2 linked regions of the Xenopus tropicalis genome follow. The protein of the gene in region 1 purifies or fractionates together with the protein of each later gene. This does not show direct contact. Links are inferred from orthologs where the notes say so. Each region holds a gene or a part of one and is shown on either strand. Other genes may lie near its edges.

Region 1 (3,135 bases):
ATATATAGAAACATTGGGGTAACAGTCACCTCGCTATAGTTCCAGGGGTACCCAGGGCACAAATAAGCACTCACCCCAAATCCCCCCCTAACTGGCCTTCAGGCTGGGCCCCCTTAGCCATAACAAGGTTACAGATATATAGAAACATTGGGGTAACAGTCACCCTGCTATAGTTCCAGGGGTACCCAGGGCACAAATAAGCACTCACCCCAAATCCCCCCTAACTGGCCTTCAGGCTGGGCCCCCTTAGCCCATAACAAGGTTACAGATATATAGAAACATTGGGGTAACAGTCACCCTGCTATAGTTCCAGGGGTACCCAGGGCACAAATAAGCACTCACCCCAAATCCCCCCCTAACTGGCCTTCAGGCTGGGCCCCCTTAGCCCATAACAAGGTTACAGATATATAGAAACATTGGGGTAACAGTCACCCTGCTATAGTTCCAGGGGTACCCAGGAGGGGTGGGGGGGGGGTTCTACTCTGCAGGTTCCCACCTTCTGGCCGAGGATTATTTCTATTTTCTGTTCTCTGTATTTGTATTTATTTATTGATGTCATAAATAATAAAAAAAAAAAAAAAAAGTTTCCCCAAGCCCCCGCTCTTAATTATTCTTAACAAACAGTTCTATTAGTAATAGAAACACCCCAGTGGGGGGGTAACTGCCCCCATTTGCCCCATGTACCCCAGATAATAACAAAGCAGGAAGTCCAGCGCCAGGGGCTTATTCACAACTTAAGGGGAAACATCCAGTGCAACAGTCCGACCTCCGAATGTCTCCGACCCCCCCGGGAGTTCATATGAAGCCCCTCCGGATGTCGGGGCCCCTTCCTCTGCTGGGGCGGAGACTGCTGGGCCCCGGGATCGATGGGTCGCTCTCAGAAAAGGGGACTGTGACTTTAAAGGGGTTGGATAAGGGACTGAAGTGCGAGGAAGTCGGCCCGACTCGGGGGATGAAACTGGGGTCCAGGATAGGGGGGAAGGGCCTTTGGTCGTATTCACCCCCGATGATACCCGGAGGGTAATTTAAGTCAGGGGGGAAGATGTTGGGGTAATAAGGGTAAGGGTGGGTGATCCTGGGGGGCAGGAAGTGCCGGCGTACAAAGCGGCTGCGCTCCATCTTCTGCTTGTACTTCTCCCTGTAGAGCTGCAACACAAACAAAGATGGCGGCCCTTATACTGAGTTGCACCCAAGGCCCCGGCCCATATCTACAGTAACAGCACCCACCTTTTTCCAATCCATGTCCAAACTCCTTGGAAGGTTATCTGTTCAACAGCAAAGCATAGAGTTAGTGCTGATCCCTAACAGCATTGCCACAAAGCAACATAAACCCAAGATACCAAAACTTTGCCTTTTAGTGCTGATCCCTAACAGCATTGCCACAAAGCAGTGCACCCAAACTGCTGCAATTGGTTTTTGTACTATTTAGCTTGGGATTTCAGCAGCTATCTGGGTGCTAAGGTCCGAATTATCCTAGCAACCAGGCAGTGGTTGGAATAACAGACTAGAATATGAATAGGAGAAGTTTTTGAATAAAAAGATAGTCCAATAATAATAATAAAAAATAAAGACCAATTGAAAAGCTGATCATTTGCAATTCTATAACATACAAGTTAACATAAAGGTGAACCGCCCCTTTAAGAACAATATGGCGGCTATAACTGCAAATCGGATCTGCCGGGTTACCCCCTCACCCCCAGTGTTGCAAGGCACAAGAATATGTGGGTGCAGTGTCCCTAAATTTGTACTCACTCCGGAAGTCTCGGACGCACAGGAACCGCCACAGGGAGGGGTCGTTGGTGTCGGCCAAGAACTCCTTACAGGTGGCCGAGAGGCTGAGAAGGGAGCGAATGTCCAACAGGCGGAAAATCCTGAGCTTGAGCTCCGGGGGGAGAACGAGTAGCCCGAACACATCCGGGAGGTTCAGCACTGAGACGGGAAAGGAAGGAGATGTAATAACGGCTATAACTGGGGGGGGGGGGGGGGGGGAAGTGGCCAATAGCGGCCCGGGGCGGACTGTTACCTTGCCGGGCAGCAGCAAGCAGAGGGTAGGCCACCTGGTCTTTAAACTGCCCCGATAACTTCTGCAGATCCTTATACACAGAGGCAATGTTGTTATCTGTGGGGGGAACATGAAGATGCTGAATCCTACTACCCCCTACTGTAAATGATAAGGATATTAGCAGTCACTGAGGGGTTCTGTGCCCCCCATATAAAGGCACAAGGCTGCAGGCTGAGTTATACAGGGAACTCTGAGTATCACTCATGTATTATAAGGGATAATGTACCCCCTACTGTAAATGATAAGGATATTAGCAGTCACTGAGGGGTTCTGTGCCCCCCATATAAAGGCACAAGGCTGCAGGCTGAGTTATACAGGGAACTCTGAGTATCACTCATGTATTATAAGGGATAATGTACCCCCTACTGTAAATGATAAGGATATTAGCAGTCACTGAGGGGTTCTGTGCCCCCCATATAAAGGCACAAGGCTGCAGGCTGAGTTATACAGGGAACTCTGAGTATCACTCATGTATTATAAGGGATAATGTACCCCCTACTGTAAATGATAAGGATATTAGCAGTCACTGAGGGGTTCTGTGCCCCCCATATAAAGGCACAAGGCTGCAGGCTGAGTTATACAGGGAACTCTGAGTATCACTCATGTATTATAAGGGATAATGTACCCCCTACTGTAAATGATAAGGATATTAGCAGTCACTGAGGGGTTCTGTGACCCCCATATAAAGGCACAAGGCTGCAGGCTGAGTTATACAGGGAACTCTGAGTATCACTCATGTATTATAAGGGATAATGTACCCCCTACTGTAAATGATAAGGATATTAGCAGTCACTGAGGGGTTCTGTGCCCCCCATATAAAGGCACAAGGCTGCAGGCTGAGTTATACAGGGAACTCTGAGTATCACTCATGTATTATAAGGGATAATGTACCCCCTACTGTAAATGATAAGGATATTAGCAGTCACTGAGGGGTTCTGTGCCCATATAAAGGCACAACACCAAAGGCCGAGTGCTTTTATACAGATCATGGAACGGAATATAAGGTGACTATTTTACAACAGGGGGTACCTTATTTATTATAACACATCATGTGATACAGATGACATCACTGA
Region 2 (4,053 bases), on another chromosome or scaffold:
GCCACCTCGCCCCCACAGCTTCCCCCTCCCTGCGTGTGCACGAATGCATGCAAACGCTGGGACGCCCTGGAGGGGGATTGCTTCACGCAAGGCACACAGATGCAGTGCAGGGAGGGAGTCCTTGGGAAATCAAATGTGGGGGTAAGAGATCCCAGACTAGGGGTGGCAACAGAGGTACCTGCCTAGCGTCCCCTCAAAGTTGCGCCCTAGGCAGGTGCCTCTTCTGCCTACCCCTAGTTCTGGCCCTGACTGGTCAGGAAACGGCATCACTGAGAAACATACGTAGCCCTTGGTCACCCTGGCAGCTGATTTGTAAGCCATGGGTGAGAACATGCTGCACAAATGCTTACACTGAAGGTAGCATAGAGCAGACACATTATATATCAACACGAAAGAGGAGTGGATCACGTGGGAGAAAAATATGATGTAAGGGCTGGATTTTGCAGAATGTCTTGTCTTTAGAAAGAGAAGCTTTGCAGAAAAAGAAAAACAGACTATGATATCCAAAAAGAAAAAAATCTGTTTTATTTATGTAGAGAACAAAACAAAAAGTGTTATGAAGACAGGTGATTTTACCAGGCAAGAGCTTTCTGGGCAGAGGTGAAAGTAGGATGACTAGTCACGCTCAGCTAGTGCAACAAGGTGGACATCAATCTCTGCTTCTGTAAGAACTCTATAACCACAAAAAAAAAAGTGTTACAATTTATAAATATTTATTACTTATTTACAGACAAGTATAGGTCTCAGGACTGAAAAATACCATAATGCTGTATATGGTATTTGTTATAGTAGAATGTCTCACTTATTTCTGCTGGGGCTTTTTTAAGAAAACTCATTATGAGCAAACTTTTCCAGTTCTGTGCATTTATAGGAATTAGTTCAAAAAAGGTATTCAATTTATCACTACTATAAAAAAAAAGGCATGGTTTCATGGTATTGTTTATTTGGCCAATAAGGAATGCTCTTTCCTTTTAAATGCTCCATACAATTACAGACCTGAATTTTGGATCCTCGACTGTGACGACTCCCACCTCCAGTTCTGAAGGTTTGAAATCAATAGACAGTACCGTGGAGAGACAAGAAATGGCTGTCTGAAATGAGAAAATTCATATTTTTGTTAAATTCTAAAGTAGATCAGATTTTTCAGCAGCTTGATCTTGCAGTATAGCTAGGTGTGCGTAAATGACATTGTTTGTGCTTAGGGGTGCCTCTTCAGTGTCAATATTCTATTGTTCATGGCTGTCACCTCAAGTTTCCCTTAGTTTACATATTAACACTATCAACAGCAATGCTAACATTATTGTTAAACATCCATTCTATCCCCCTCTAACAACACATCTACCCTGTGCAGTGTTTATTATTTTAAGTGCTTTATGCAAATACACCATAAAAAGTTATCTTTCTGCGAGGCAGTAGGGTGACTTGAACTGTGCACCTCCGGTTGCTACAGGGTTTCTAACCCCTTGTAAGCTCTCGGTTTCTTTGTTTATATTCTTGCAAATTATGTTCCAGGGAAGGGTGTGCATTGGCAGCATTACTTCATTATTGCTGTAAGCGCTGCGAGCAACTGAAGAAATATGTGCACTGACTTTGTAGAATTACAGCTGACCTGTGTGATGCCTTCGCTGCTTGCAGCACTTTCAGCAATAAATCACCCTAAGTAAATAACACAAGGGGCTAGAAAATCCTTATAGCTGCAGTAACTGGCTTCCGGTTTCAGGAGGAGATGTGGAGTGCGCACGTAGGGTCTTGCACAATTTGTGTGGCCCTATTGCTTTTTTTTTTTTTTTTTTTTTAAAACAGCAGGAAGATAACCTGTTTTTTTTGGTATTTTTTGTGCAGGGCAGATGTACTGTCAGAATGAGAGAGAATGGATTTTTAACATAATCATTTTTAGTTTTACTGGTCCTTTAAGTTTAAGTAGAATAGGGCTTGTGCTAAACATACTGTTTGCCTTAGGAAATATTTATGGTTTTTAATTTGTTATTTTATATCACTTGGGAGCCTCTGCAGAGCTGCCCTTTATCTTAAAAGATAACAGGCAGTAGCTGGGGAAAGGGAGGGGTTTATTCATACAAAGTGGACTGCTTTGTTTCACTTTGCTAACTGAGACCAGGAAGTAGAATGAAATTTTAGTTCAATTTTCAAATGTAATAGATTTGTATACTGCCCCTTTAAACAGGAGCTCTTATCCATGTTTAGCCAATAACTGAAATGTCTGCGGCCTGGAATATCCTACTACTGCTCTTTGTGGATAGAGTTTAGGGAGGACGCTTTCCTTTTTCAGCACAGGTCATGCTAACTGCATGAAGTGAGGACCACACAAAACTGATTTGCTGAGTTAGATGTTGAAGAACTTGACTGGAACATAAACACCTGCAGGACGAAGTGAGAGGCCAACTCTGAGCTAGGCCTGACAAATATCAGGGGCTAAAATAATCAATGCTTGTGGAGGTATAACACTGTCCCAATGTAGTGGGTAGTCTTCCCAGCAAAGAGAAGTTATTATAGCTGCAAAGAGAGGACTAACTTCATATTAATACCCTTGGTTTTGCAATGAGGGAATTTGTCTTAAAATGCTCTGAAATGCGTCAGCCACTAAGCACTCTAAGGGAAAACGGAAAAAGTACAAATAGTATGCATACACCGGTTACCAAGGTGAGAGGTTTTTACTCTGCTTCTGCATTCCTTGTGTGCAGTGAAGAAATGGTAGGAAATTACAAAACACAGGCTGCATTATTATTTAAGGGAGGGCAAATAGGGTAGATGAAAGGTAGCAGTGAGTGTACAGGGAAATGCAGAAGGGTGGGCAGTAACTGTGGGTTAAAAAAAATGATTTTCCATGCTACCTCAAGAGTCTGCTCATAAGTCCAGTCCAATTTCTTCTTTACTTTCTTTTCTAGGAAGCTGGTGGCCTCAGTTTGCTTCACTCCAGCTGTGGTAGCCTTAAAGCCACAATAGTAGCCTGCAGGATCACATTTAAAGACTTGTGGTCCATTCTCCTCATCCACTCCAATTAGGATCATGCCTACAATATTTTAAAAAGAGGCAAAGAAGAAAAATAAATCCCCACACAATGAAACAAAACTTGTAAATGCATTGCAAGCTGTCTTTACGTGAGCAGAAAAACCTGGTGTGCATCACCAATTCTACATCTAAAGAGTTAATTTATATGTTAATTTATAAATCATAAGCGCAATGTCTTTCTCAATATTTTGAGAACACTTACAACATCCTAAGGGCCTCATTTCAGCATTCTGTGTGTATACTTGAGAAATATCCGCAATCCTTTTACAAAGCATATCTACTGGGATTTCATAGCCGTATTTGTACTTCCAATTTGCAGCCTCATAACGTGCCCGCTGGACCTGCGACCTGCTGTCAGCTAGTGAGAGAGAGAAGGGACAATGTCTTATAAAACGTAAAAGGCTTTAAAATGTAAAGAGCTTAAAAAGCGCAGAGAAACAATATGCAGCATTAAGAAGCTAAAAAGATAGATGGTCTCATTTACAACCAGGGCCTTTAGCTTTGATGTGGCTAATATATGGCGATTAAGCAAAATACCTGTCATTCCGGTCATTACACAGCCAATGGATTCAGTAATCCGGAATAAATGGGTTACTGTGTTGCTGTCCAACAGCTTGTCCTGTGAAGGGAATGATATCACTTAAAATTCAGGAAAAATAAAAGTACATAAACTTGCCTAACTTTGGAAGAACACCAGGGAAACAGAAAGTCTGAAATGGGACAGTAATCACCTTCCACCCCCTCTCACTCTATAAACAGGTAATTTGTTCAGAGTTCCAAAACTCTGAACAGCTCATTATCACGGGGCTTTTCACTGGACAGGTAATTTGTTTTAACAGCTCCTTCTCTGCTTAGCAGAACAAGGAAGTGCTAAAGTAAAAGTGATTTTTTTTACTTATTTGTAAAATTCATAAAATTACAAAAACAGATATTTTCATTTAAAACAATAAGCAAAAGCTATGTTCAGCACAAGCCCTATTGTTTGAACTCATTTTGGAAAAGGGGGTATACCACTACCCCTCGTAT

What was found. The genes of interacting proteins can lie anywhere in the genome.
Region 2: the proteins of fbxo7 (region 1) and psma6 purify together in Homo sapiens (affinity purification with mass spectrometry; 3 studies listed by BioGRID and IntAct, with this or other methods). This does not show direct contact. The link is inferred for Xenopus tropicalis from reciprocal best matches to the Homo sapiens genes FBXO7 and PSMA6.

The regions. Positions count from the first base shown.
Region 1 is NC_030679.2:7,490,006-7,493,140, forward strand, and holds the end of fbxo7 (F-box only protein 7), read right to left. Parts: intron 2,120-3,135; coding exon 2,024-2,119; intron 1,930-2,023; coding exon 1,753-1,929; intron 1,266-1,752; coding exon 1,228-1,265; intron 1,147-1,227; coding exon 796-1,146; 3' UTR 527-795; downstream 1-526. UniProt on the Homo sapiens protein: Substrate recognition component of a SCF (SKP1-CUL1-F-box protein) E3 ubiquitin-protein ligase complex which mediates the ubiquitination and subsequent proteasomal degradation of target proteins and plays a role in several biological processes such as cell cycle, cell proliferation, or maintenance of chromosome stability.
Region 2 is NC_030684.2:109,490,960-109,495,012, reverse strand, and holds the end of psma6 (proteasome subunit alpha type-6), read right to left. Parts: intron 3,647-4,053; coding exon 3,565-3,646; intron 3,386-3,564; coding exon 3,230-3,385; intron 3,029-3,229; coding exon 2,850-3,028; intron 1,092-2,849; coding exon 997-1,091; intron 674-996; coding exon 616-673; 3' UTR 503-615; downstream 1-502. UniProt on the Homo sapiens protein: Component of the 20S core proteasome complex involved in the proteolytic degradation of most intracellular proteins. This complex plays numerous essential roles within the cell by associating with different regulatory particles.